4 linked regions of the Alligator mississippiensis genome follow. The protein of the gene in region 2 purifies or fractionates together with the protein of the main gene of each other region. This does not show direct contact. Links are inferred from orthologs where the notes say so. Each region holds a gene or a part of one and is shown on either strand. Other genes may lie near its edges.

What was found.
Region 1: the proteins of POLR2G (region 2) and RPAP2 purify together in Homo sapiens (affinity purification with mass spectrometry; 5 studies listed by BioGRID and IntAct, counting the BioPlex papers as one, with this or other methods). This does not show direct contact. The link is inferred for Alligator mississippiensis from reciprocal best matches to the Homo sapiens genes POLR2G and RPAP2.
Region 3: the proteins of POLR2G (region 2) and MED1 purify together in Homo sapiens (affinity purification with mass spectrometry; 3 studies listed by BioGRID and IntAct, with this or other methods). This does not show direct contact. The link is inferred for Alligator mississippiensis from reciprocal best matches to the Homo sapiens genes POLR2G and MED1.
Region 4: the proteins of POLR2G (region 2) and MED26 purify together in Homo sapiens (affinity purification with mass spectrometry; 6 studies listed by BioGRID and IntAct, counting the BioPlex papers as one, with this or other methods). This does not show direct contact. The link is inferred for Alligator mississippiensis from reciprocal best matches to the Homo sapiens genes POLR2G and MED26.

What each region holds. Positions count from the first base shown.
Region 1 is NC_081828.1:32,973,837-32,981,195, forward strand, and holds the start of RPAP2 (putative RNA polymerase II subunit B1 CTD phosphatase RPAP2), read left to right. Parts: upstream 1-4,358; 5' UTR 4,359-4,379; coding exon 4,380-4,428; intron 4,429-5,447; coding exon 5,448-5,493; intron 5,494-7,359. Other genes in the region: GLMN (glomulin), read right to left, coding at 1,894-2,019, 2,645-2,764.
Region 2 is NC_081838.1:3,128,943-3,135,790, forward strand, and holds POLR2G (DNA-directed RNA polymerase II subunit RPB7), read right to left. Parts: upstream 3,020-6,848; 5' UTR 2,926-3,019; coding exon 2,914-2,925; intron 2,581-2,913; coding exon 2,471-2,580; intron 2,335-2,470; coding exon 2,175-2,334; intron 1,757-2,174; coding exon 1,706-1,756; intron 1,606-1,705; coding exon 1,540-1,605; intron 1,068-1,539; coding exon 996-1,067; intron 783-995; coding exon 749-782; intron 557-748; coding exon 543-556; 3' UTR 371-542; downstream 1-370. Other genes in the region: 5'-3' exonuclease PLD3, read right to left, coding at 4,134-4,327, 4,553-4,652, 4,771-4,936, 5,528-5,667, 5,763-5,963, 6,164-6,291, 6,436-6,550, 6,644-6,827. UniProt on the Homo sapiens protein: Core component of RNA polymerase II (Pol II), a DNA-dependent RNA polymerase which synthesizes mRNA precursors and many functional non-coding RNAs using the four ribonucleoside triphosphates as substrates.
Region 3 is NC_081827.1:165,686,090-165,693,830, reverse strand, and holds the start of MED1 (mediator of RNA polymerase II transcription subunit 1), read right to left. Parts: upstream 3,010-7,741; 5' UTR 2,841-3,009; coding exon 2,813-2,840; intron 171-2,812; coding exon 64-170; intron 1-63. UniProt on the Homo sapiens protein: Component of the Mediator complex, a coactivator involved in the regulated transcription of nearly all RNA polymerase II-dependent genes.
Region 4 is NC_081839.1:407,102-414,097, forward strand, and holds the start of MED26 (mediator of RNA polymerase II transcription subunit 26), read right to left. Parts: upstream 3,005-6,996; 5' UTR 2,778-3,004; coding exon 2,703-2,777; intron 1-2,702. Other genes in the region: SMIM7 (small integral membrane protein 7), read right to left, coding at 6,473-6,488, 6,664-6,754. UniProt on the Homo sapiens protein: Component of the Mediator complex, a coactivator involved in the regulated transcription of nearly all RNA polymerase II-dependent genes.

The sequences.
Region 1 (7,359 bases), on a different chromosome or scaffold from region 2:
GAAGGGACCTCAAGAGGTCATCTAGTCTAACTCCCTGCTCAAAGCAGGACCATCCCCAACTAGATCAAAGCTTTGTCTAGCTGAGTTTTGAAAACCTGCAAGGATGGAGCTTCCACCAGCTCTCTGGGTAACCTGTTCCAGTGTTTTTCTTCCTAATATCTAACCTAAACTTCCCTTGCTGCTGCTTGTTCTGTCATCTGCCACCACTGAAAACAGTCTAGTTTCATCCTTGTTCGAATCCTCATCCAGGCAGTTGAAGGCTGCTATTAAGTCCCCTCTCAGTCTCCTCTTCTCTAAACTAAATAAGCCCAATTCCCCGAGTCTTTTCTCATAAGTCATGTCCCCCAGCCCCCTCATTTTTGTTGCCCTCCACTGGACTCTCTTCAATTTGTTCACATCCTTTCTTTAGTGGGGGGGCACAAAACTGAACACAGTACTCCAGATGTGGCCTTACCAGTGCTGAATAGAGGGCAATAATCACTTCCCTTGACCTACTGGCAACACTCCTACCAATGCAGCCCAGTATGCTGTTAGCCTTCCTGGCAACAAGGGCACACTGCCGGCTCATATTCAGCTTATTCTCACTGTAACCCCCAGGTCCTTTTCTGCAGAGCTGCTGCCCAGGCAGTCAGATGCCAGCCTGTAGTGGTGCATGGGATGGTTCTGTCCTAAGTGCAGGACTTTGCACTTGTCCTTGTTGAACCTCATGAGATTCCTTTAGGTCCAATCCTCCAATTTGTCTAGGTCACTGAATCCTAGCCCTACCCTCCAGAGTATCGACTACTCCCCCCCAGCTTGGTGTCACCTGCAAACTTGCAGAGGGTACACTCTATGCCATCTTTCAAGTTGCTGATGAAGACACTGAAGAAAAAAAAAAAAGCCCCAGGACCAACCCCTGGGGCACTCCACTTGATACCAGCTGCCAACTAGACATTGAGCCATTGATTACTACTCTCTGAGCCCGATGCTCCAGCCAGTTTTCTATCCACCTTACAGTCCATTCATCCAGCCCATACTTCCTTAGCTTGCCTGTGAAAATGTTGTGGAAAACCGTATCAAAAGCCTTGCTAAAATCAAGGTACACCACATGCACCAGTCTCCCTGCATCCACAGAGCCTGTCAGCTTATCACAGAAGGCAAACAGGTTGGTCAGGCATGACTTCGCCCTTTGTGAATCCATGCTGACTGTTCCTAATTACCTATTTCTCCTCCAAGTGCTTAGAAATGGATTCCGAGGATCTGCTCCATGATTTTTCCAGGGACTGAGGTGAGGTTGAATGTTCTGCAGTTCTTTGGATCTTCCTTTTTCCCTTTCTTAAATATGGGCACTATGTTTGCCCTTCTCCAATCATCTGAGACCTCTCCTGATCACCTTGAGTTTTCAAAGACGATGGCCAATGGCTCTGCAATCACATCAGCCAACTCCCTCAGCACCCTCAGGTGCATCCCATTCAGCCCCATGGACTTGTACACATCCAGGTTTTCTAAGTAGTCCCTAACTGGCTCTTTCACCACTGAAGGCTGCTCACCTCCTCCCCAGACTGTGCTGCCCAATGCAGTAGTCTGGGAGCTGACCTTGCCTGTGAAGACTAAGGCAAAAAAGGCATTGAGCACTTCAGCCTTTTCTGCATCCTCTATCACAAGGCTGCCTCCCCCATTTAGTAAGGGACCCATACTCTCCCTGATCCTCCTCTTGCTACCAACAGATGTGTAGAAACCCTTCTTGTTACCCTTCACATCCCTTACTGGTTGCAACTCCAATTGTGCTTTGGCCTTCCTGACTTCATCCCTGCATGCCCAAGCAATGTTCTTATATTCTTCCCTAGTTATCTGTTCAAGTTTCTACTTCTTATGAGCTTCCTCTAAATTATAAATAATAAAAAATAAATTCACCTTATTTTTTTCATTTTGAATTACTTCTAATAACTGGGCGGCATACCCTTCTTCTAAACACTTCTGGCCTGCTACTTGAAAAAGATTAAAATCTTCTGCTCTGAAATTTTCTTCTTCCAGAATTTGCTAAAACGAAAAGCATACATTTAGCTTTATATGAATCAGAAACAACAAACCCAAATTTGAGTTGAATTATAAACTGAATTAGAACTTCTTAATTTTATTTTAACTTATCTGTGATTCATTATTTCAACTCTAAAAAGTTATCCACATCTACTAGGGAAAACAGCAGATTCTGGGGCCTGGCCACACTCCCTTCCTTTTTCTCCTCTTCCCTCCCTCTCTCCCCCCCAGCCCCTCCCTTCTCTGCAGGGCTGGGCTGGGGCCCCTTCCCTCCACCAGGTTGCGTTGGGGCCAGTCTGGCCCTGCTCCCCTCCCCACAGCCAGATGGTGCCCACTGGCCCACCAAGGTACTGAATCAAGAACACTGGCTGGATCCAATATGCAGAGGTACTGGGCACTGCCAGTCCAGCCCTCCAGGCAAAAGGTTGGGCACAACTGTTCTAGGACAGTAACCAGGGAGAAAATGGAGATAGGAAGCTAAACGTGACTACCCTGTGTGACAGCAAAGGGTGTTGCTATAAGCTACCCTACCTTTCTTTTCTTTTTTTAAACATAACATGCATTTAGATGGAGTCAGTGCTTGTTTCTATAACCTCTCATGTAGTTTTACAAAAAGTAAACTACTTACGCATCTTTGAACAATTGCTTGAAGTTCATCAATTGCCATGATACCTTCGCTTTGCTGTTGTGACAACAGTTCTGTCATAAATTTAAGAGTGCAGTATTGATATGCATATAGTAAAAACATGCTGAATTAAAGATGGAGACTGAAACTTACCTATTCTTACTAAAATATGATAACATGAAAAAATGAGAAAAATGAATGCAAGTCTAAAAATAAGTCAGAAAATAAGTCTAAATAATTACACAAGAAAAAACAATAAAGGAAAAAGGAATGTAAAAATTGATTAGAAGTCATTTAATTCTACCTCCTCTGCATACAGGTATTGCTATTGCTTGTTTATTGGAGGCAGGAAATAGCATTGATACTGTATGAGGATCAGTATATTTCTTGTATTTGTCAAACAAAAAGTGAAGTAATTTGATGCAACTGAATCAAATATGTAATAGTTTCAAGATCAAACGTGTAGAAATCAGCTTGAGGGGACAGATTTTGCAGGGGAGAAAACTGCAAGGATGAGAGTAGGAATGCACGGCTGCTGCAGAAAACCACCATCATGTACTCTAGAGTCTAGTTAATCACCATGCTCTAGGACTGGAGTTCGGGATCAGTATGTGTTATTGCACATGTTACATGCTAAACAGCTAGTATGATATAGTTTGCCTTTTTTTTTTTTTTCTTCTTCTTTCAAGCATGTGGACCAGTGATTCTTACCCAGGGTCCCACAGCACTGTGGGGTAACCTGAGATCCTTTCAAGGGTGATGCAGGATGCCACACAATGTTAGCACTATCAGATTTGTAAAAATGATTCACAAGATAAACCCAGAGATTTCAAATAGAAATGCACAGCTGTGGCCTTTCTGAGCTCTTTGCAACAGAAAAGTTAGCGTAGACTTTTTTTTCTACAAAGTTTCACCATGCTGGTGTTAACTTTTATTTGAGACTTGCTTTCCTTAAAACTACTCTTAAATTTGAAATCTGTCTGATACAACAAGCTACTTCAACTGCCTTTCACCTCCAGACACTAGTTATTGTTCAGATCCACTGAAGTCAATGAAACTCCCCCGCCGGCATGGCACGACACGACGCACTTGTGTGTGAAGCCTTTGCACGAGGGGGGGACCCCAGGTTACAGTAAAACGGAATTTTATGATTTCATCCTCAAGCCAAAGGCACATTTATTTGTAAGAAAAAGAGGCCTGAAGATTTCGTGCACCTCCAAACGGTAGGCGCCAGCGCACTATCCTCATTCCTTCACTAACCCAACAGGATTATTTAGATAATAACTACGTTAACTGGCGGCTGAAGAAGAGGAACATTTAATCTCCCACGCAAGCTCGAATCAGCTACAACGCATTAACTACAACAACTCGTTTTTCATCCTACCAAGCGCTGCCGCCCGCCCGCCCGCCCCCTCCCAGCCCCGGGGCCGGCCGCCGTGGGCGCTTTTCCGCCCCGCGACCGTGTGCGCGCTCGGCAGGGCCGCCGGGAGGCCCAGGCCACCGCGGGTCTCAGGCCTCCGTGCTTCAGCCGGTTTCTACAGCTGCCGGCCTCACTCCGGGTGTCCGCCCCGGCGCCGAGAGCGGCCACAGCCAGATCCCCCACCACGGCCGAAACCCGGCGCTTAAGGTAGCGCCCAGCACGCCCCCGACCGCGCTCCTACCTCCCGCGCGGCCGCCGTCCCCGGGCCAGGCTCCGCCTCCCGGACAGGCCGAGAGGCGGGGCTAGGCGGGCGCCGTGATGGCGGCGCGGGAGAAGCTGCGGGTCAGGTCGGGCCGGAGGCGCCCAGGTAGGGATCCCAGCTCCCCCCCGCCGGGTGCGGTGGACTCGCCCTTCTTCTCCAGCCCCGCGCGGGGGGACAGAGCCATCCCGGGAGGGGGGGCGAGCACGAGCGTTACGTGCGGGGCACCCCTGGGGCGCCAGCGCTGAGCCTCGTGCTGGCCGCCTCGGCCGGCGGGCCGTGGGACCCCTGTGCTCAGCCTCCCCCATGTCCTGCCCCGTCGGCTGCGTCCCGGGGGAGGACCGGGGCAGGCGCGTGCTTGGTTGCAAACGCAGACTGGGCTTTGCAGGTTGCCCCCTCCTGGCTTTCTACTATACGTGTCGGTGGTTCTGCTGGGGCCAATGCCAGGGGTTCCTGGCTGGGGTCTTGCCCTCTGCTCAGGGTCAGATTTGGGGTGAGGAAGGAACTTTACCCTGTGGTCAAATTGATAGGGACGGGGGAGGATTGCCTTCCTCTGCAGCAGGGGCATAGCCCTCCTTCCCCAGGACCTCTTGAGTAGATATTACTAATCTTTTAGAGAAGCAGGATGTTGGCTGCGTGGTTCCCATGCTTTCCCTGCGCCAAGTAAGGGTAGGGCTGACAGCAGATTTATGAAGAGTTGACATCATGAATTTGTATAGGATGGTTTGGATAGGGATGATCCTGTCTCAGGCAGGGGGTCAGGTTAGCTGGCCTCTGGAGGTCCCTTCCAGCCCTACTTCTCTGTGATTTCCCATGTTGGGAGGGCCCAGATAGTTTGGATTTGTGTTCAAGGTACATAAATGACATGTCTTGCCTCTGTCCTGTCATCTGCAAAATTTGGGCCTTACCAGTCTGTTTTTTCTTGCACCTGAATATTGATTTTGTAATTGTTGAGTTGACACCTTCAGCCTCCAAAAGTGCAAGTATCTTGATTGTGCTTTCCTCTTCTGCATTTGCAAATCCTTTTTCCTTATGATCTAGTATTTCAGTGCTTTCAGTATTTCTAGTGAAAAAGTATGAGCCTCAAGGTAAGAAAACATACACTAATTTATATATTTTATTACTAGGAAGTAAGCAATCAAGTGCTTTGAAAAATGAAGATGCAGCACAAAGGTATACTATGTAAATTATATGACATAGTAATGAAGTATAGGTTGTAGTTGTGTTGGTCTAAGGATATAGGTAGGCAAGGGTCTTTGGGTAAATCTGATGTCTTTTTATTAGACCAACTCAGATAGTTGGAAAAATTCTTCTTTGCAAGCTTTTGGGCACAAACACCCTTTGTGTGGCTGCAGAAGTATCTGCAGTTGGTGTGCATTCTTCCTGGATGGAATGAATAGTAAAGAAGCCAGAGGCTTCAGTAGGAGTCAGTGGGTGAGAAATGTGGGGGGCACAGAGGGAAAGAGCTGTCTCTCACCCATTGACTCCTGTTTACCTTGTCACTGAGCCTTTCTTACATGCACACCGGCCTCTGGCTTCTTTACTATTCATTCCATCCTGGAAGAGCGCACACCATCTGCAGATGCTTCTACAGCCTGAGGAAAGGTGTTTGTGCCCGAAAGCTTGCAAGGAAGAATTTTTTCCAAATATTTGAGTTGGTCTAATAAAAGATATCAGATTTACTCAAAGAACCTTGTCTGTCTATGACATAGTAATCACATTTCTTTGCATTATTTTGGAGTTCCCACTTCTTTGCATACATTTAGCAAATAGGCTAGCAACTATGCTATTCAGTGTTGTAAAATGTTTTAAATAACCCTGCAAATGTGGAGACAGGGCACTTTAAGACATGTTAGGCAAAAATGGTATCAACTATACCCCCAAACTATGTTAAAGGAAAGTTGAGGTTGCCAAGTCAAGTAGCTGGGAAATGATAGAACTGAAATTGTCTGTGCAACATTAATTCTGCCCCCTTGTGTGTGTCGATACATTTTTTAATCTTGTGGTTGCATTCTGTTTTCCACAGGATCTCTGCTTTTTCACTGCATAGGCTGAACATCATTCATATATGTATGTGTATGTCAGGAACACACACACAAGGATGTTTCAAAGGCTATAATTTCAAAGTAAAACTATTTTGTGTGCAGTGATCATTTATTGGGCCACATCACTTCTCTATATAGTTGCCTCGCTTGGCAACACAGGTATTCCAGTGTGTCACAGCTTTCTTGATACTATCCTCAAAAATGCTTTTTGGTTACTATGCCAGTCACTTCTGCACCACAAGTTGCACCTCTGCATCACTGGAGAATCTGTGTTCACGAAGAGCCTCCTTCAATGGTTCAAACACGTGATGATAACTTCGTGCAAGATTGGGACTGTAGGGTGGCTGTGATAAGATTCCAAAGCCTAGTTCGTGCAAAGTCTCAACGGTCAACTGTGTCTTGTGTAATCTCACATTGTGCTGGAAAACACTTTAGTTACGCTTTCACATGTGGTCCAAATAGCTGGCTTCAGGTGGTTTTAGAGGAAGTGGTAGTAGGTGTTACTATTGATTGTAACCTCATGCTCCATTAAGTGGACAAGAAGTCCCATGCAATCCCAGACCAGGATGAGCAAAACCTTTGCAGAGGATAATTGAGTGCAGAATTTTTTGGGTGGTGGCAACAATGTGTATTTCTATTGCATGCTGTCTTTTGCTCTCAGAATTGTAATGCTGGACCCAGGTCATGTCCCTGGTGACAGTGCATGAAAGGAGCCCTTCATCCTGTACATGCTACAGAAGCTGGGTATACACTTCCACACGTTGTCATTTATGCACACCTGTCAGTTGCTTTGTTGCCCACAGAGACACTTTCTGGTAATTCAGGGGATCAGGCAAAATGGCGTGGATACTGCTAGCACTTAAGCCTACTTCCACAACTAGTTCAAGAATGCTCACTTGCCTATTCATATGACAGCAGCATCAACCTGGGTGGTGGTGTCCTCCATTCTGGCTGTGTTGGGGCATCTGGCTCAGGTTTGAACTTCTCCATCCAC
Region 2 (6,848 bases):
CCTCCACGCCCCAAACCCCACCCCCCCACTGCTGTCAGCTGGGGGGCGGGGTGCTGTTTTCAGGGAGGTCCCAGTCCTCCCAGACCGCCCTGGGGTCCCAATGGGGCTGGCCAGGGTTGCAGGGTCACTGCACCCCCTTATCCCAGGCTCATTCCCCAACACCCCTCCATCCTACTGCAGCTCTCCCCAAACTCCCACCCTGTGCCTGTACAGCACCTAGCACAGCAGAGTCCTGGCTCTACGGGGGCGGGTGCTTCAGCACAGCCCAGCCCCAGGCAGCCCCCCTCTGCCCCCCTACACCCTCCCACTCCCACGAAGCAGCTTCGGGTCACGGGAGGGAGTGGGGAACAGCAGACACACCACAGCGGTGTATGAAAAGCAGCTTTTATTGGGAGGAAGAACAGGCAGGTGTGGACCCGGCCCCCAGGCCTGGGCAGGCCCACGCCGGACCCCCATAAATAGGGCAAGCAGTGCAGGGGGGCAGAGGCAAGGCTCATCCCAGCTGGAGCCCAGGGACACAACCAGAGGAACGGGCTTGTGCATCAGCTCACGAGACCTGAAGGAGACATGGAGAGAGAAGGGTGGATGTAGGAGACCCTGGAGCACCATCGCCCAGGAGCCCCCACCTGAGAAAGACTGCAGCCCCTCGGTGAGCAGAGCCCGACCCGCGGGCACCAACTGTCAGGAGCACCAGTCTGTGCAGGTACGCAGGGATAGGGGCAGGCCTGGAGCCAGAGACGAGACTCACCCAGATAGTCGTCCATGAGGGAGCCGATGGCAAACTGCAAAGCAGGACACAGGTGTGAGCACCGCGTATGCCCCCCGCCCCCTCCCGCAGCCTGGGACTGGAGCCCCCATGCTCCCACCCCGCTGGCACTGGGACAGCCCCACAACTCCTTCCCACCCAGCTGCTCCAGGCCCACAGCCCCTCTGCTAGGAATGGGGTAGCTGGGAACCCGGCTCCAGCCCCACAGAAAGAAGCAGGCAGGACTCACGATGTCATTCTTGTCCACTCGGGTTCCCACAATTTTCAGCCGGATCTCGTCGTCCTGCTGGATCACGATGTCCTGCAGACACGTGGAGCCCAGGCGAGACTCATTTCTGCACCCTGCTTCCCCCTCCCCCCACACCACGGCAGCCCCTGCCATCTCCTCCACAGGGGAGAAGGGCTTCAATGACATGAATGCCTCTCATCACTAAGATGCCATTTGCAACCAGCTTGTCCCTCTCTTTTCTGGTTTCAGAAGTTTTTTGAAGGAGGCTGGATGGTTTTACAGATGAATAAAGTGAGGCACATGCGAGGGGAAAGTGACAGGGCCCAGGCCACTCAACAGGACAGTAGCAGAGCCTAAAGCAGACATGCCCCGTCCCGGCCTTCCTTGTCCCAAGGAATCTCATGTACTGGAAAACAGCCACCCTCCTGCCCCTTGCCCTGCTCTGGGGCACCCCCTAGCCCCTACCTGAGTTTCTACCCCAGCCTCCCCAGTGCCCCCCAATGCTGCCAGGTGCCCCCAGGGAGCACCGTCAGCCCCAGCTCACCTCGTCCACCGTTTTATAGCAGGGGGGGTTGGAATTGGGGTCGAACTCCATCTCAGAGGGGATGGACTATGGAGAGAAGGACAGTCAGCTGTGGTGGGCTCCCAGGTCTCACCTGAGCCTCCCAGACCAGAGGCAGCCCCCAGCCCCCTCCCCAGGCAGTGCTTACATGGCGGGAGATGAAGCAAGACATGGGCCCGATCTCAGTGAAGAGCCCAACCTGCGGGAAGAGGAGGCAGCAAAGCTGTGAGGGCCACGGTGACAGTCCTGGGTTTGGGCAACGCGGGAGCAAGGAACGTAGGGGTCTCGGATGTGGTATCTTAGGGTGGCCGTACGTCCGCCCGCCTTGCTCCTGCACTGCAGCAGGTGTCCACCCGCCCGCCTGGCGCACCAAGCTGCTCGGCCTCGCCGCTCAGGACTTCTGCCCAGCCAGCCAGGACCAGCCTGCAGAATCTGGCACTGTCCCAGCCAAAAATGGGACATCTGGTCACTCTAGTCCTGGGGGACAGAGGCAGCACGCCCCAGCCTCCAGCAGCTTCTACAGCCCCCCGCATCCCAAGACAGATGGTGCAGGGCTGCAGCCCTCCTCCGCACCAGGGCTTACACCAGAGGCTTTCCTGTGCCCCGCCGCCCCTCACCTTGTTGACCTGGGTCACCACCGCATCCACCACCTCGCCTTTAAAGGGCCGGAAGACGATGGCCTTGTACTTGACGGGGTAGAGCACGAAGCCGCGGCCCGGCTGGATGACGCCTGCCCCGATGTTGTCGATGGTGGTGACGGCGATGACGAAGCCGTACCTGCCAGGGAGGGAACGGGGCGGGGAGGGACAACACCAGTCTCGTTAGGACATTAGATCATGGTGGGATCCCCTCCATCCACGTGTCCCAGCTCCCTGTTCTCCCCCAACCCAGCCTGGCCTGGCCCCCCACTCACTTGCCCGTGCAGGTGCCCTCCACCTCGGTGAAGAGCTTCTGCTTCACCGTGTTGAGCAGGTTGGGCCCGAAGTAGCGCGGGTGCAGCAGGATCTCGTGCTCCAGGGAGATCTGTTGGGGCAGGACATGGGGTGGTCACAGACTGTCACAGGGGCTGGGACAGGCCCCCCTGCCCCCACCCACTCCCCTCCTTCCCCAGGACTGCCCCCCCATCACCCCCCCCAGGACTGCCCTGTCAACCCCCCTCCCTCCCCCCATCAGCCCTCCTTCCTCCCCCCAGGACTGTCACCCTCCCGCTGTCCACCCCCCCAGGTAAACCCCCTTCTCAAGGCTGGGCAGCAGTGCATGCCGGGAAGCCTGGTTGCGCTGGGGGTCTCCCTGGGGCGGGGTCCGCAGTGTCCCAGCCCCGGGGGCATGGGGGGGGGGGGGGGTTCCGCCACTCACGTGGTAAAACATCCTCCTGAGTCCCGACGTCTCCGGACCGGAAAGAACCCGCAACACCGCGCTTGCCCCCGATTGGCCGCAGCCCCGCGGGAGCCCCGCCCCCTCGGCCCGTAACAGAACCCCCACGGGAACTAATTGCGCATGCGCTCAGCCGAGGGACAGCGAGCTGCAGCGCATGCGCACTCGGGGCAGAGGCAGGCTGGCTGCGCGGCCGCCATGACACCAGAGGCACCCAACGGCGCCTGCGCGCGGCAGGCACAAGGGGGCGCTGCGGAGCCCCCGGCAGGGGCAGGGGCGGGGCCCGGGGCGGTGATTGATAGCGCGAGGGGTGGGGCGTATGCGGTGATTGACAGGCCCAGTGGCATCAGAATTTGCTTTATTGTCGCTCTGGTTACAAAAATAAACTCTGGAAAGTGACAACTGCAATGCACAGGCCCCCCCCACTCCCACTCCTCCCCCCGCAATGGCCCAGCTGCAAAGCCCCCCAAACCCACTGCAACCCCCTGCAGGGTGCAGCCCCCCCCTCCCCCAGCCACATAGGAGCTGCTCAGAGCCACCGACCCCCCCACCTCTGGCCCCGCGTTTGGCCCCTGGGGAGGGCTGCGTCCCCTTGCACCCCCAAGGCACAGCCCCTGTGTACAAAGCCCCCTGCCCCCCCATCCCCACGCAGGCCACCCCCAGGGCTAGCCACTCAGCCTAGCTTTGAACCCCCTTGGCCCACATCAGTATGCCCCCCCCCCCCCAAACCTGGGCCACAGCCCCCCAGCCGGGCTCAGTGCAAACTGGCAGAGGCGCCGTGCCCCCACAATGCCATGCAATCCAGCAAAGCAGCCCCCTGCCCACCCCGTCCCGCCTTCCCGCCACAAGGCCCTGCTCCTGATTAGCCCCGATTCTTCCTGCCCCAGCCCATGACCTACCCCCCAAACAATGCCCATTGCCCCTGCTGCTGCCCTGAGCACAACCCTCCCAAGACCCCTCGCCCCCCCCAGGCAGGGAGAGGGCATCAGACCCTGAGATTCCAGTGCAGAGACCCCCTGGCCATAGCTGCAGCCATGGGGTGCCTGGCACTAGGCAGCTACTGCTGCCCCTTCTTTGGCTAATAGGGTCCCAGCCCCCCCAGGTGGGGGGTGGGAGCCACCTGGTATCCCCAGCTGTCCAAAGCAGTCCAGGGGAGGAGGGTGGGGTCCCAGGCTTTCCCCCACCCTCAGCGGGAGCTGCCCTCAGTGCCTGGCAGCACAGCGGGGCTTGAGGCTGAGCGGCTCCGTGTAGGGAGATTCCCAGTCCCGGTTGAACACAGCGGCCAGCTGCTCCCGCAGGGAAGGCCCGGGTGTCCCCGGCTCCTCGGTGCTCTGATTCACAACCAGGCCCACGCCTGCGGTGTTGATGAAGTAATCCTCCGACCAGTTCGAGGTGCCTACGGGGAGGGGGGGAAACCAGTGATAAACACCAGTGCTGCTTGGGATTGGGCAGGGGAGGGCTCAGCTCACCAGAGAGGTCCCCAGAAAAAGGTGGAAGCCAGGGGTCCGGGCTCCCAGCTCCTCCCTGCTCCAAGCCCCCACGCCCACTTCCCTCCCAGGGCTGGGGAGAAGCCAGGTGTCTACGCCTCCAGCCCCCTCCCAGCACTGGTGCCCGGGCTTACCGATGTAGGCCACGCGGTCGGTGACCATGTACTTGTTGTGGTTGACACGGGCGAAGGGGATTTGCTTCTGCTGCTCCGTGGCCGGGACAACGAAGAGTTTCTGCAGCAGAGGTGGAGGGAGCGGTAGTGTCACCCCCTACCCCAACCTCCCCCCCAGCTCTGAAGTGACCCCTGCCCCTCCCTGGGCTGGGATCCTCTCCTGCAGCTCCAGGACTCACCACCTCGATGGGGCAGCCCAGGGGCTCCCGGTGCAGGATGAGCAGCGACTCCAGGAAGGGGAACATGGCGCGGTCAGAGTGAGGCCAGCAGCTGGCCAGGAGCCGCACGCGCACCCCCCGGCCGCAGGCTGCCTCCCGCAGCGCCTCATCCAGCACTGGCCAGAACCTGCGGGCAGCCGGCGCTGGTCACGGGGAGAGGCAGAGACCTCTGGGAGTCGCATCCAGCCCCAAACCCCTGCCCCACGCAAGCCAGCCCCTGCGAACTCACCTATGGGCACAACAATGCAATCACCTCCAACCCAACCACCCGAGCCTGCCCAAAGGGAAACCAGGGGTCTGTCTGCCAGCACCCTGCTCCTGTGGGAGGGGCGTTAAATATGCCCCAGAGACCCCAGGGCACCCACTGCTGAGGAAGACAACGCCCACCCCGCACCCTGGTCTGTACTAATCTGACCAGAGGAAAACTTCTTCCTGCCCCCTGTGCAGCATCAGTTTGACCCTGAGCAGGGGGCACGACCCTCCAGCCAGGACACTCTGGGTTGAGTCCCAGCAGAAGCATTGGCACAACCCAGCCACTGCCCCCAGCCTGGGCTGCGGCTGACACCAAGCACCACTGCAAAGAGGGAGAAATCTTGATGCAAGGGGAAAATTCCCTCCCAGCCCCATGTGGCAGCCAGCAAAACCCCAAGGCCTGGAGATCACAGGCATCACTGCTCCTAGACTTCCCCCAGCCCGTGCCGGTCTAGTCCGCGGCTACCTCTTGGGAGTGCAGAAGGTGCACTGGGGCACAAAGTCCATCACGGCAACATGGATGAAAGCCTGGGCATCCGCGATGGTCTCCAGGATGGCCTCGAGGTCAGGGGTGCGGCCAGCAGAGCACAGGGCCGGTGGGGCGCTCTGGGGTTGGGCACAGACAGTCTCAGAGCCGGCGCAGCGAGGTCGCCTGGGCGCAGCTCCCCTTGCCCCTCCTCCCACACCCCCCAGGCACTCACGGAGAGGAACAGCTGTGTGGGGACACCATTGAGCTGCAATTTCAGGGGCCGGCGGAGGCTGGACAGGGCAGCCAACTCAGAGGGCCAGGCCGCAGGCAGGGGGGTGCCTGGCCCTCCCAGTGCCCGGTAGGTGCCGAAGATGCGGCCCAGGTCACTGGCCACACAACTGCAGTTGTAGAGTACAGCGCCCAGCTCCTTCACCTGCGGGCGGGAAGGTGAGGTGGGGGTGAGCATGTGGCTTCCTGGGCCTGGGCCCTGAGCCCTGCACCCGCAGCCCCTGCCCCATCCCAGCATCTAGCCCCCAGCACCTGGCTACAGCCCCCTCCCCATCTTCCCATGTGCCCCTGGCCAGCTCACTGCCAGCACGTGCATGTGCACCTGCCCGTGTGCCCCCACGGTACCTGCGTGAGCGAGCGCCAGTCCATGTTGGCGCTCCCGACATAGACATGCTTGTCATCCACCACCCAGAACTTGGAGTGCAGCACCCCGCCCGTCAACCGCTTCATCTCCACAGAGCTCACGTTAGCCCCTTGGGGGGGAAAGGGAGGCGAGATGGACGTCAGGGGGCTGGAAGCCCCCCTGCTCTCAGCCCCCAGCCTACCGGGGGCTCAGGCAGCTCCAGCCAGGCTGGAGCAGGGTTCTGGTTCCCTCCTAGCCCCTGAGCAGCAGCTACCTTTGCTGGCCAGGTCCTGGGTGTCAGCATTCGACTCCTGGGGGCTGTTCACAGCCACATTCAGCTGCACCCCGCGGGCTGGCAGGTCCCATAGCCGCTCAAACACCTCCCTGCCCTGCAGGGAGCACCAGGAGTAGGTCAGGGTCAGCACCGCTGCCCCTCCACCCCCCAGCAGTGTCCTGTCCCCTCCCCCTGCCCCGAGCCTGACCTGCCAAGCAGAGGTCTCCGTCTTAGACGTGTCCAAGTCCCGCAGGGTGAGGTAGAAGGCAGCAATGTCCACGCTAGTGTTGGCGCCGCCCAGTAGGTCCATCCAGGCCTGGTGCACGGCAAGGGGCCGAGGGCTGCCAGATGGGTAGTCCAGGCCCTCAGGGAGGCTTTCCACGAGCATGGCACTGCCGTGGCCGTGGAGAGAG
Region 3 (7,741 bases), on a different chromosome or scaffold from region 2:
TGCTAACAAAGTATGAATCATAAAAAGACTATGTAATATCACCAATCTCTCGAAAACTCTCACCATGACTTGACGGACAAGCTTCACAGTTTCAGTCCAAGGTCTGTTCTGGTTAAACTTTGCATGAAGTCTTTCCAAGAGAGAACTCATCTTGTTCAGCTTCTCTGCTTCTATGGGACAAATTACAGAAGACATCTCATTCAGGACCTGCTGCAATTTAATGTTAATTCAAACAACACAAAACTTTTACAGACACAAACCCCCCCTTCATCTAAAAGATCCGCCATTCCATCTCAATGTTAGGGTAAACCACAACTTTGAAAAATCTTTTTACTGATTATACACACACACTTTTAAGACCTGCTGAAGGCTCATGGGAAAGACCTGAAGTAGCAACAGATCTTTGAAGAGGAGTGGTTAAATCTCCTGGTTTTCATAGCACTGAACATGCATATGCAGTTTGTTTTTCAACTCTGAGTTCTGCTGAGAACTTTATAAGGCAAAAATACTTCCACAGACTCCTCCTTACTCCCAAAACCCTAATCACACTCTATGTTTCGAACTTTTTCATTTGTGGACTGACCACCTGAAAAGAAGCTGTGGACCCAAATCTGAGAGCCATTATACTCACATTTTTGCTCTAAATTGTTTTTAAGAATACCTTCGTAACACGCAGTGAAGGGTGAATCACCAGCCTATAAAGACTCCAGCTGGAACCCACTTAAAATGAAGGACCTGACTGAGGCAGTGACAGCTGGAATGCAACACAGGCCAACAACTACCAATGCTGCAGAGAGCTGGGACTTCTATGACTTAAAGGAGTTCTGATCTTACTCATACTAGAGACCCATGGGTTGGCATCTTCTGTGGGTGGGTGCCTGCAGGATACAGAGGTGTCCTTGAATCTGGATAGCAATCTGCATACTGCAACACAATGAAACAACTAGCAACTTCAGTTTCACTTCCCAGCAAACAGGGTTTCATGGTATTCCATCAACTTTAAAACTTAAGAAACAAGTTTTATGCATCTCAATTTCTCTGTTATTTGGTGGGGGGTTACAGCGCTTTTTTACTGTGTGTTAAAAGTGCTTTGGTCTTCAGTACTGCAATGGAAAAGAAGCTTATAAACTACAGAGAAACTGATGATGCAGTGGAAACACTGTCATTGACTATACAAAGGGTATTATCAAATGCATGAAGTAAACAAGCTGAAACAACAGAGAAAATAGTTTTCCTTACTCTCTAGTTATGAGTATCTTCTGTGATATTTGTAAAAATTGGGGATAACACTTGTCTAAAAATAGTTTTAAGTGGTGTCCCTTTCACTAGATATGGAGCAGGCTTCTCTAAAGCTAGACCCTGGAGTTTAAGCAAAGTCATCCCCGTTTGTTTTGGCAACTTCAACTGAGGTGTCCAGTTCAAGGTAAACCTAGGATTAAAACTTTAATGGCACAAGTTCCTATTTGTGTAAATATGTTAGGGGCATTTCAAAACTCAGTTTGGGAATTGTATTATGCCATAAACTTAATATTGAATGCATCTGCAGGTCCACATGCAGAAAACAGTTCTTTAAAATGGCTGGTACAAATTTCCAGATAATGGATGACATCCTGGGTCCACTGGGATGCAGTAGAAGTTCTGCATTTGACATCAACAGAAGCAGAATTTCAGCCAGAGTATAGTCTTTTATTTCCTTCAGAAACTGAGGAAGTCAACTATCCCTGCTTAGCAGCTGGCACCAGATGTCACCAAAAAAAAGAAAAGTAACCTGTCTGTCAGACTAGCTATTAATTTTAGTTCTTCTTTTTAATTTACATTGAAAGCATGATGATTATTAGTTTTGCAGAAGAGGTGGATTTAGACATGCCTTATATTTGTGTGTTTAATATGTTCGTGGATTGTTTCTGATACACATTAAAAAAATTTTTTTTGAACCAATTAACACAGCAGAACTGAAACCCTCAGAATGAATCCATGCCCATTTGATGTATACAGGGGCAAATTATATATAGGGAAGAACTCTAAGCTCTAGAAACCATTTCCCTTACTGCACAGAACAGGTTCCCAAACTCTGCCCTACTAAAAGCTGTGCTGACATCATGATAGCAACTAAATGGATCTGCTCAACTTGCCTAAGTTGGGGCAAATGGCAGCTGTCATCACCTTTCACAGAGGTGCAGCCAATAAGGCTGCAAGTCACACAACATGAAGGTCCATCTCAACCCAAGGCAGCTGTTCTGGCTTACACACCACACGGTCACCTGCACCAACACAGTTTTGGGCACCTTCATATTCTGTAAACCACGAGGCTGCTCAGCTCCAGGTGAAACATCCCGTCCTTGGCACATACACTCCTCTCCCATCCGGGTGCAGCAGCACATGCCAGAAGCCCCTTAGCTACCAGCAAGCGCTCCCTACCAAGGGGTTTGGACTAGCACGGGCAGCAGTGCCCGATTCTGGCTGCAGGTAAAAGAGCACAACCCTGTCTTCCGGTCGCCTCCTGGGCAGCTCAGCCGTGGCTTCATACAGGGCACCAACCCGTGCGCTACGGGTCCCTGACATGCTCCTGAGGACAGATGGATGCTGCCCTGAAACCTACTGGGAGGGGGGAAATGGTCCTTCATCCCCCTGGGGACTTGAGGGTAGGGACTGCTGGCTTTCCAGGGAAAAGGATGTGTGGGCTGCCGCCTGCCCTGGAGATGAGCATCTCCCTGTCCCCGCCCCGGCAGCGCCCCCTCCCCCGCCCCCGCGGGCAGCCTCGTTCTGAGCGAGGGGCTGGGGGCGCAGCCTCGCTCTGGCCCCAGGCACTCACCCTCAGCGCCCCCCTGAGCCGCCTTCATCCTGCAGGCGGGCGCAGGACGGCGATGGGGAAGGGAGGAGGGGCGGGCCCCGGGGCAGGCCGCAGGTGCCTACTCGCGTCGAGCGGCTCCCCGCGGCCAGGCCCCCCCCCCGCACGGGAGAAGCCTCAGTCCGCGGCCGCTGCCGCCATCCCAACGGCCATAGCTAATCTCCAAACTGCGCGACACTTCCGCATTCTCGCGAGAGCCTGGAAATCTCGCAAGAGAGCAGCGAGCGGAGCATGCTTGCGCCGACATCTCGCGGGATCTGGAGCACCAGCTCGGCTTCTGTACAACTTCCCTTCCCCACTCTAGGCATTTGGGCTTTTGCGCTCGGCTGCGGGGCCGAAGCCTCTACTTGATAGTAGCTGCCCCTGAGACTTCTTTGCAGTTCGAAAGAGCTACGGAGATGTAACAGTAATTACACGGGGAGGAGAACTAAATATTTCAAATACCGAGTCGGGCAGGAGCGATGGTGGAGCCGCGATGGGCCAGAAGCCAGGCTAGAGGCACAGATTTCTTAGGGCGATACCTTTAATTGGACCAGTTGGGTGGATAGGATGGAGTTAGGCAATACTTTCTTCTTCAGAGAGTGCATCTAACTCCACTCCGCCTGTACAGCTGGTCCAATAAAAGGTATCTCCATAAGAAATCCTTGCTTTGTACAGCAATGTTCCCACTGTGTTACTTTTTTTTTTTTTTGGACTATTTGTAAATCTCAGCTGTTCCAGGAAGGTGGCTAGCAGACTTTTCACTTATCTCACTGTGCTGAGATGGCAGGCAGTAGACTTACTGTACTGCTTCTTCTCACTCATTGACTCCTCAATCTATATTTTCACTGACTACCTGTCTTGTATGCATACCAGCCCAGCCCCTGGCTTTTTTACTTTTCATTCCATCCAGGAAGAGCACACAGCAACTGCTGAAACTTCCTTAGCCTGACGAAGGGTTTTTGAACCCGAAAGCTTGCCTAATTATTATTTTCCAACTATTTGGGTTGGTCTAATAAAAGATATCAGATTCACCCAAGGAACCTTGTCTGCCTATGTTCTTAGACCAACACGGCTACAACCTACATCCCTGTACTGCTTCTGAGCACTCCTTTTAAGTCTGAGATCAGATAAATGCTGCTTTAGCATACATGCCAATGTTGCTACGGTCCCAGCCTCCTTCTGCACAGGGCCACATCATCTGACCTGTGAGGCTCCACACTGGCAGTAGTGTTAAACACTACAGCTCTAGGAACACTTAGCTTTGCTATCACTTCCTTATCACCAAATTTCTGTGCCTGTGGGGAGTCCCACAGGCCAGGTGACATGGCTGTGGGCCAGGTGTGACCTTTGGACCAGAGGTTGAACACCACTGATGTAATACAAAAGGAACATACCCAGCACATAACTGGAAGCTGACAGCGGTTGATAAAACAGTACCATAAACACTGTGCTTTAAGTCTAAACATACATCCAATGAGCCCTTAACTTGGTCTAGGTACTATCAAACAAAGTGTTAAAGATATTACTTTAATCTTAAAATCAAGTGTAATGGGGCAAACCATAACAGCTTTCTAAATGCATTAAATACTTTTACCTCCCATCTCTTTAGAAGGACTTTTTCCCCTTCTCCCATACCTCCACTTTATTCATTCAAGTTCAGTACAGAGTACAATACTATTAACATACTTTGCATTTCTTTTTCACCAGAGAAAAACGTTTTTTACAAACAGTAAATTGCACAACACCCAAAGATAGAAGCACTGCAAAGGGGGGTGGGGAGGAGGGGAGGAAGAGAGAGAGAGAAGGGGGGGGGGGAACCAAGATTAGCAGCATTCCACTTAGAGCTCTTCTTTCTGCTTTCTTTTAGCACGTAATTTCAGTTTTCCCACTATCAAGATCCAAATTTACATTTCTAGCTCATCACTATGGACAGAAAAATTGATATTGTCAATTCCCTTCCACAAAACCTGAAAAAAACCATCAGGTTCACCTTTGTAGAATGACAAAATACTAATGTCAGAGACAAACCCAGCCTTTCTTTGAAAAGGGCCAGCCCACCTTATGGCTTCCTCTTAACACACCACAGCTGAAGATGTTCTGTTCTTTGACCACCAGATGAGGTGACCTGTTTGAGTGGGGTAGGAGTTCTTCCTGTTTCCTGAGTAAGACATTTCATCTCCTTCAGTGGCCAAGTATACAAGGTATCTACATCTTTATGAGGTAGTGAATACAAATTAATTGTTTTAAATTCCACTGAGACTATATGATAAAATTGTAGTCATGTGCTACTTTGTTAAAAAGAAATTGCTACCTAGGATTTACAATAACTACTGCTTTATACAATAGTTACTTTGAAATTAATAGAAACTGGAGATTAACCTCTTCCTCCTTTCCAGAGGTTATTAGAGTCTGTTACTTTAACTAAAACAAGCTATTCATCTGCAGGCTGGTGCCCAGTTCTAGTTCCAGTCGAGAACAGTGTTCCATTAACCAGATAATTAGACAGACAAGGAGACCAAAGAATAATAGGATCCAGTATTTGCTGAGGAAAGTGGTGGATTCATCTGAACTTCAAGTCTTGAAAGCAAGCTTGGATGTCTTTCTACAATAGCAAAATAAATCCAAAGATATTGGGAATTATGTGGGAATTTGAGAGTGTAATTTGATGGCCTGTCTTTCATCTTAAAAATCGTGGAGATGTGGAAGGACCATCGCTACTGAGTTAACTGCAGCCTCAGGAAGAGAAGGGAGGAGCATCTGTAAATCCACAAAATAGTTGTACTTTTGTCACCCTTTAACTTAAAAACAAAACTGATGAGATTTCATATGCTGAGTGTCAGCCTAAAGAGAATTTGTATGGCCTAGTGAATATAGACAACAGGGTTTGTAATGGAACACAGACCCACCATTATTATAGCGAGAGAGCTCAAAATGTCGATGTGACAAAATGGAAGCTGTAAATACACACATGCAAATAGAACAGACACCAATTAAAACCTGCAATTTTAGAGCTTTCTGGAACTTGCCTTCAAGTGATGTGACCCTCATAAAAATAAATCTACATTCTATAGTGACAGTTTCAAACCTAAATGGATATGCTGTTTGAGTCATTCCTGTATCATGCTGTTGTTATATTGAAAGCCTCAATACTTCAAGGAACAAGCATGGAAGTTTTAAAATAGGAATATTCACAGTTTTTCCATGTAGAAAAAGCTTGGGGGGAGGGTATTTATTCTCAGAGGGAGGAAAAAGCAATTTTTGTTGCTCTTTTCCTTTTCATATTTGCTTTGGAGTGTTTAAGGCTGGCATATAATGACATTATATTATACCACCCACTATACACCAGATCCTTTTACTTTCTGTTCTATTGTTGGGTAACATGTCACAAGGAGCCAATGATAATTTACCTGAGGAATGGCTAAGGGACATTTCCAGAAGTCTCCACTGATGTGATCTGCTTCACTTTTTGGCTAGCCTCAGGACCCATTTTTCAAAAAGCACCAAGGAACTGCAGTCCCTGTTTCCAAAAACTGCTGGACATGATTGTCCAAGTAGTAGTAACAACAACAATAAAAATAAATACTTGATTTTTCTCTGGAGGGTTAGGGCTATAGAATGAGGGTTCTGGATCATATGATTCTGTTTCCAGCTGTGAGGAAAGCTAGGGGTGATAGAACTCTGGGGGTCAGGGCGCTGGTGTCCTCTTTTCGGTTCTTAGAGACAAGTGGATGCAGCAAGGAAGAGCTATTAAAATCAGGAGTCTTGGTTTCTGGTTCCAGCTCTGAGCAGGGAATAGGATTTAAAGTATAAAGGTGGGGACTGGAAGCCAGAACTCTTGGATTTTATTTCCAACTCCAGAAAGGGGCAAGAAGTTAAGCTGGGACCAGGGAGCAGTGATCCCAATCCCCCTGTATAAGTAGACAGCTAGGTTTTGTACTTAGTGTGTGTTTAATGCAGCCTTTTATGGCTACTATTTGCAAGGCCCTTTGGCTTTCTTGGGGAGTTATGTGAATAGGTGTATGCATACACATGTCTACATGTATATATGTACCTACATATATGTGTATATGTATATATGTACACACATGAACATAAATGAACACAACCACCTGTGTTATGTTCATCTCCCTAAGCATGTACTTTGTGCATGTGGGGGGAGGGGGGGTATTTGTCTTCAGGAACGTGTCAGTAAAGTTTTGTTGAAGGGGGGGGCACCTGTGGTGCTTTGTCCGCTCACTTTCCTCCCAATAAAGTTTTGTTGGAAAGGCAACGCTGACAAGCGCGGGGGTTGGTCTGTTGGTTCGTCCCCCTCCCCCCCATGTGCCGCGTTACGACGGGGCTCAATAAAGTTTTGTTGAAGGGCCTCGCGGCGTGCTCTCGCGAGGTTTCCGTCGGGGCCTGAAGGAGGAGGGAGAAGCGTCGGGGAAATCTCGCGAGGTTTGGCCGGCGGAGAAGGGCTTCCCTCCCGCGAGAGGACGCGAGCCGTCGCGAGAGTTGGTGGCTACCCCCTTGGAAGCGGTGCCGTTTCGCTTTGGGAAGTGAGCGGAGGGGGGGCGGTCCCGGGCGCGGGGCAGACAAAGGGGCGCGAGGCGGGCGCGGCCGGGCCGGGGGAAGGGGCCGGCTCCTCGGCGTCCGCAGCCGCTCGGGGCCTGGGCCTAGGGGCCGCCTCGAGGCCTGGGGACGCCGCGCGGGCCGAGCCCAGGGCGGCCTCGGCCCGGGGTGGGGACGCGGGCCCGGGGCAGCTCCCGGCTCCTCCAGCCTCGTGCTGCGGGGTCGGAGCGTGTCCAGCCCGGGACCCGGTCCCCAGAGCGCCCCCCATGTAGTAAGGCGAGGCGCGGGGCCAGGGGCAGGCAGGGCGTGAGGGGGCAGCCACTGTGAATGGTGGGCGGAGGGGAGAGGGGCACGGGCAGG
Region 4 (6,996 bases), on a different chromosome or scaffold from region 2:
TTCAATCCCCAAGTTCATACCTCCTGCCTTACTTATCTTCCATGTTTAAACTCAAGGAGAAATGGCAATATATATTTACCCACCAGAAACTAGCAAGTTTATTATGGACTTGACCCCTATGTAGCTGAAGAACAGGGAACTTAAACCTTAGATTTACAATAAATGTTTGCCAATCAAGGATTAATAAATCTGTTTTCATGGATATCACTACCCAACCTCAGAAAAACATGAAACACAGCATTATAAAAACAGGTGGGGAAGAGAAGGGTAAGGGATTCGGCTCAGTGGATGTCTGGTTTCTCAGTGCATCCTGCGCTAAAGAAAAATATCGCTACTTTTAGTAACAGAGGGCAACAGTGGGGAACCTCTTCTCTATAACATTTCACACAACATACAAGTTGCAGACACTTCTACAACACGTTACAACCAGAATGGAAAAGATCCCACCTACTTTTCTGTCCCCTATGTACCAATCACAGTAGCTGATCTACAAACATTTCAGTTAAATGAATGTTGACACCCGCTATTTGACTAGAGTCCTTACAGCATTTTTAGTAAAATGAGCCTAATTAAAAGGAATGGAGAACTTGATGTAGTGGGAAGGCCCCTGGATGAGCCAATGCTCGTCTGTATAATCTATTTCTTATATGCATCCTGGGGTGGGTGGGAAACAGGGGGAAATGTATATATATTTATACACAACATTTAGATCTCAGTATACTTCTCTGGGACTGGTGGAACAGGTTTCAGTGTTAAACTAAACGTGTATGTAAATGAAACACCTTGTTCCCAACCTAGTGAGTATAACGAGCGAAGCAAAAGTGTAAAAGCTGAAGTCCCCCACCAGACTTTCAGATAAGTGCACAGGCATGCATGCACATGTGTGTCCAGCTAGGATAACAGGTTAAAAAAAAGAAGAATATGCACAGAGAAGTCCTTAAAGCCATGACTCTAGTCATGTCTACACTGGAGTGAGTTTGCTGGTATCTATATATCAGCAAATCCTTCTAAATGGGGGTACAGCCTATAACCCAGGAAAGTTATTTTCCCAGGATAGTTCATACTAGCAGCTCCCCACACAAAACTGCTCCACAGGCAAGGGAATTTTTTTCTGGTATAGCTCACCTTTCAGTGGGATATCTGCCAATTAGGACAGTCCTCCTCCCTGCAACCCCCCAAATTATTCCGGCACAGCTGAATCATTCAATTAAAGTTAGGCCTTGGGGTCAGACTGATTTGATACACAAGAACATGAATGCGAATGACCGCTACTCATTTTTATTGTGATTAAACAACTCCTAGCAAATTAATCCTTCAAAACCTATGCTTTGTTAGAAAGCTTTTCTTTGCCAGGATTTTCTGATTATGAGCACCAATTAGCTCCAACAGTTAGAGAAACTGCTGCACTTCTTAGGTTCATACAGTCCAGAGAAAAGCAAGCTTCATTGTAATATCTCTTATTAAACCTACATTGTTGGAAGGGATGTTAGACAAGCGTTTGGGCACAAAAAGCCCTTCCCCAGTCCTCCGATGCCACTCTAAAGGTGCTCATAATTTACACCGAGATCCAGGGTTTTGAGGTAGTACTAACTTCTAAACTGAACTTTCTCCCTTATGAAAACCGTGCTGCAGGTATTTTATGTTCAACATCTACACCAACTGACAATTAGGTGAGACGCAAGGGTAAACCCTGCGTACACAGGGTTTCTTTGGGTTTTTTTAACCCATCGGAAATTCAGGCATGTTAGAGTTATTTTATTGCAGTTCATGTAAGATGAGAGGTGTATAACATTGCACTCGAGAACCACAGGTATCGGGCCGATTTTTCTCCAGCTTTCACGCGGCAGAATGACACGTGCGTAGCGGAGAGCCCCGAAGACGCCATTAGCCTTTGCTACGGCAATACGCGTTTGCGGTCTTCAAGGGCCCAGCACTCACGACCCTGGCAAGACTGAAGTGCCAGCCTCACGTGCCCTGCGGCAGGCAGGGCTCAAGCCTGCCCGTCCCAACGCCCCCACCGCGCGCGGGCCGTCGGAAACCACCTACGACGGAGGTCCTGAGCTGCGCCCTCGTTCGCAACCCCCCGAGCGGCGTCCCGGCTGGCGAGCTGAGCAGGAGGGCTGCCGCGCGCGGGAGCAGGAGCGCGCCTGTGGCAGAGACGGACGGCAGCGCTTAAAGCCCTCGAGTTACTTGGGGCAGAAACCCAAGAAGTAGTTTTCAGTTAAATCCAGTTACACGTAAAACACGCCGGCTTCGCTACGCTAATACCACATCCTCACACCGGGCGATAAGCCTCTTAGCGCCCTGCAGAAAGGATAAAGACCAAGCAGAGACCAGGGCTGCTCTCCTCTCCCCCGGGACGAGCGCAGCACCCCTCAGCCCCCATCTGCCCGCCTCCCCGGCTCCGCAGGGCGCAGCTCCGCCCGAGCGAGGCCGGGGCATGCCCGGGCCGCGCCGCTTCCCCGCTCGAGCCCGGCTCGGAGCCGCCGCAGGCCGCGCCGGAGCCTCGGCCTCGCGTAGGGCGCGCAGCCCGGCCCGGCGCCGCATGGCCGGCCACGGCTGCCGCCTCCCCGTGCAGCCGGCGGGGGCGCGGGCGGGGCGGGGCGGCGCGGGGGCCCGGCGGGACCCGGGCGGAGCCGGAGCACGGGCCGGCGCCCGGGCAGGCGCTTCCGGGCCGGGGCCGGCGCGCGGCCCGCACTCACGTTGCTCTGCGGGTCGATGGCCTGCAGCAGCCGGTCCCTGATCTGCTGCGGGGAGGGCGCCGGAGCCGCTGTCATTGCCTGGGCGAAGCGGGCGGCGCGGCCGGGGCGGGGGCGACGGGCCGGGCCGGGCCGGACCGGGCCGGGGCGGCGGCTCCTCACTCGCCGGCGGCGGCCTCCTCGGCGAGCCGGAGCCGGAGCCGCATGCTCGCCGCCGCCGGGCGGGCGCGGGGCGCGGGCCGGGCCAGGCCGCGCGGGGTCGGCGGGGCGGGCGGGGCCGGGCCGGGCCGGGGCGTCCGCGCCGCTCGGGGCCGAACTCAACTGTGGGCAGGAGCCAGCCCCGCGCAGGGCACCATGGGACACACCCCACGCCCGACGCCCTTACGCACGGCGCGCCTGTGACGTTGCGCTCCCGCGGCGGCGGGCAAAGCGGCCGCGCGCCCGGCGAGCCACTGCGCCTGCGCGGGGGACGGGGTGGAGCCAGTGCGTGCGCGGGGGGGCGGGGCGCCCTGGGCTCAGTTGTGGCCCCCCCGCGGGGGCGGGGCCACCCCTCGCCTCGTCTCGCCCCGCCCCGCCCCGCCCCCCGCGCACACGACGCGGCGCGGCGCTCCTGAGGCGGGGCGGGGCGGGGCGGGGCGGGGCCTGCTCCGCGCTGCCCGCCCGGCTCGGGCGCCGCATCAGCTCTCCGCCGTCAGCGCCCCGCGGGGGAGCACGTCCGCTGCCTCGAGCGCCGGGTGCCGCTGCTGCTGCCTCCGGGCCCGGGCCCGGGCCCAGGCCGAGGCCGGTCCCGTGCGTCCGCTGCGGCCCGCTCGAGCCCGGCCCGGCGCTGCGCCTGAGCGGGCGCCTTGGTGCGTGGCCCGAGGCCGGCCTGGCCGCCCCTGCGAGGCGATGCTGCTCCCTGGCAGCTCGCGCCCCCTCTGCGGCACGGCCGGGAAAAGCAGCGACCCGCTTCACAACTAGCGGCCGCTCAGCCCTTGGGCCCCGAGCAGCGCGCCTCCGCTGCAGTCGGTCTGCAAGGTGCAACTCGACCCTGCCTTCGGCTTGGCGCAGCCGCCGAGCTCTGCCCACGCGCGGCCGGATCCCGCCGTCGTCCTGGCCCCGACTCCGCGTCCGGCCTGAGCCACGCTCCGTCTGCACCGGGGCACGGCTCCCCCGGGTTGGCACCGCTCGCGTCGGATGCGGGGCGCCGGGCCCGGACGCACCCGTCACCCCCGCGGGGGAGTGACTGAGCAAGTGGGGTTGAAGCAGCTTATTCCACATCTTTACAGAGGGCGAATGCAGAGAGCTACGCCGTGGCACTGCCCTGGCTCCTCCCGCTGCCGGGACCTTGCCTTGCCTTGCCTTCCCTTCCCGCAGTAACCCCCCCCCCCCAGAGTACAAGAACTCTCCCCTTGGAGGAGGGGCATTTCTAGGCATGTGGAAGTGAATACTCAAATCCTTACTTACATCTTGTTTTAGAAAACGATTAAATACAGAAATAAAGGGTAAACAGTATCAACAGAAAGCATGGGGAAAGGGATAAAATACAGCACAAGAGAGATCAAAGTAGATAATAGACAAGGCGGGGCTCAGAGTTAGCCTAGCATTTCTACAAAGATCTTTTCCCATCAATCCTCCCAGGTAGATTATGCTGTGCCTTTGGCTTACAACGACCCTCCCAAGCGACATCAGCATTTCAGGTAATACGGGACAGCATCTCTTCGCAGACCTGAACGGCTGTGAGCACACAGCGCTTGTGCAGCGGCTGCATGCTTGCTCCTGCCTAGAACTGGACGCTTGACTGAACTGGAGGTACAATCCATTAAATCCCTCTCCAGTCCAGGAGCTAAAGTGCCTAGCGGGCAATGAGCTGCTCACAGAGGAGAGCCCGTGACTGAAGATGCTTGCTTAAAAAAAAGAAACATAGAAGTGGGGTCAGGTAATGTTTCCCCCACACCCACACCCTCCACCCCTTTCCTTCCCTATTTATTTTGTCAGCCCATAGTCAAAGTTGCTGGCTGAGGCACACCAATATCAACTTAATAAAAATAAATGCTAGGGGAAGCCAGTCATAATTACAGGACAGTCTACCGCAAACAAAGTTCTTCTAGGATGAAGCTGACTCGTGCTCAGAGTAGGAACAAGACAGCACCCGCTTTAACCCTCAGATAAACGTGTTCTTACTGCTTAGTTACACGTTCCCTGCCATAGCTGAGCTGTTTTTCTTGAAGGCTCTAGCACTGGTCCAAAGATTCAATTACACTCAATCATCAACACTGATTGAAGAAGCTTGATTGCATTACATGTATTGACTGTTTTAGATGTATGAAGCTGAGGATGCGCTTTGGCATTTTGCGCACCACTTGATAAAACTAGTTGCCATCTAATTAACTGATATTTAAATTGCAGTCTCTATAAGTCCTCAATTACATTTATCACTTTTTCACAAAAAGAAACATGAACAATAGAACTGGTATCAAAACAGTGCAATAACAGCTCAAAAGCAGGCTGACAAACACCACTCTTCAAATTTAAACCAAATGTTTACTTGAGTACTTTATTACCAAACAACGTGGAAAGCCAAAAGAAAATGCAAGGGAAAAAAAAAGATTGAAAACATGTATTTTTTTATTTCTTTTCAATCTGTTACGTCATCAGAACACTTAGAAGTTGGTTTAAGTATTTGTTACCTCTGTTGATGATGAATTCTCTTTTTTGACCCACAAGTTTCTTGGAACGTCTCCTGAGCCTCCAGGCCCCTTTTATAGTAAATGGAACAGCACAGAGCACGCGTTCTTCCTCATTTCAAATATAAGGATGTGTGTTACCAACTTTAGAAGACTACTTGATTCTGGTGGCCCCTGGACTACTAACTTCATGTTCAAAAAGTCTGCAGGTAGTGTCTTTGGAACAGTTTACAGACAACTATGGTCTTTGATGTAACAAACAGTATTTTTCTCCTCTGCAGTTATTTCTTCATTAGGTAGCCCCCCAAGCACCCAAATGTTGAGGTCATTGCTGCGGCCAAAAGAAAACTAAGCAGCAAATGGCTGGTCTAACTATTAAGTTGCACTGTAACAGCTTGCTTCACTTAAAAAAAGAAAACAGCCTTTTATAAATGTCAAAATTTGTCTTTTGGTCAAGAGAAATGTCTCTTTAAATGCTGCATATATACACCATGTTATATACTGGCAGACTGAAATCAAAGGCAGGAAAAGACCAGGAGTTTCAAATGAGTGAAGAAAAAATCTAAAAAAAAAGGCAAACAATATTATAATACTAGATAGCGAGCAGGCATCATGCTGTTGGCCACCAGTGCCGTTTGCAGAGCTGTGCTTTGAGAATCAAGGCGGCGGCCCAGACTACTTGAGACAACGAGCATGCAGGCCGGCAAGCAAGAAGTGCGCGTGTGGTCCAAGGTGTTTTTTCTTAGTTCAGAGTTGATGGGACCCTGTTCTGAGACATGAAGAGTCCAAAGAGTCAGTAACATCTAGGTGAGGCGAGTGTCCAGGAGGGTCAGTTTGGGTCTACCTAGCCATGAAAGTGCCCCTCCGCCCCTTGACAGTATGCTATGTTGTTCTTATAACCACGTCCTTTCACAATTTGCTGAAAAGCACGAGCGTGTCCTGTCCCTGTAACATCTAGGTACTCTCATGAAAGAAAGAAAACACAGAATTCCACACTGGTATTTTGAAAACATTGCAACATTTTACTTTAAGCGGTCACGTTTCCAGCCGAAAGCCTCTTCCCAGCCACAACAGAACACCTGCGCCCGGTACACGCTTCCATGCCGTTCAAGAGCCAAACAACCTAGTGGATGAAACACAGACGAAGCAGGTGACAGCTGGCTACAACTGCGCAACGGGGCTGGCCTGGCTCAGGTTTTGGGTGTTTTAACTACAAATACACTAGGAAAAGTCTCACCGGGTGACAAAGGTAAGTAGCTTTGCCCCTTTAAAGCAACACGTGCAGCAGTTCTACTTACACAATCATGCAGAACATCATAAAGATGTTCCAGAGCGCAATGAAGATTCGGAAGTATCTGAGACTCAGCAGGAATTCCCGGACGTTGTCCCCTGGAAAGCAAGAGGAGAGGAGAAGCGTTTACTTGAATCGCGGGGCACCCCCACGCCGGCGCCTGACGCGCTCCCGGCGCTGACTCAACGCCGTCCTCGCCTTCCAGGGGAAAGACCACCGAGAAAAAGAAGCGAGAGAAGAACGCAGGTAGGGAGGGGCTCGGCGACGCGAGCGCGAGGGCAAGCCGGCGCACCGGCCAGACCCGTGACCAGCGGCTCCCCGTCACCATCCCGGCAGGCAA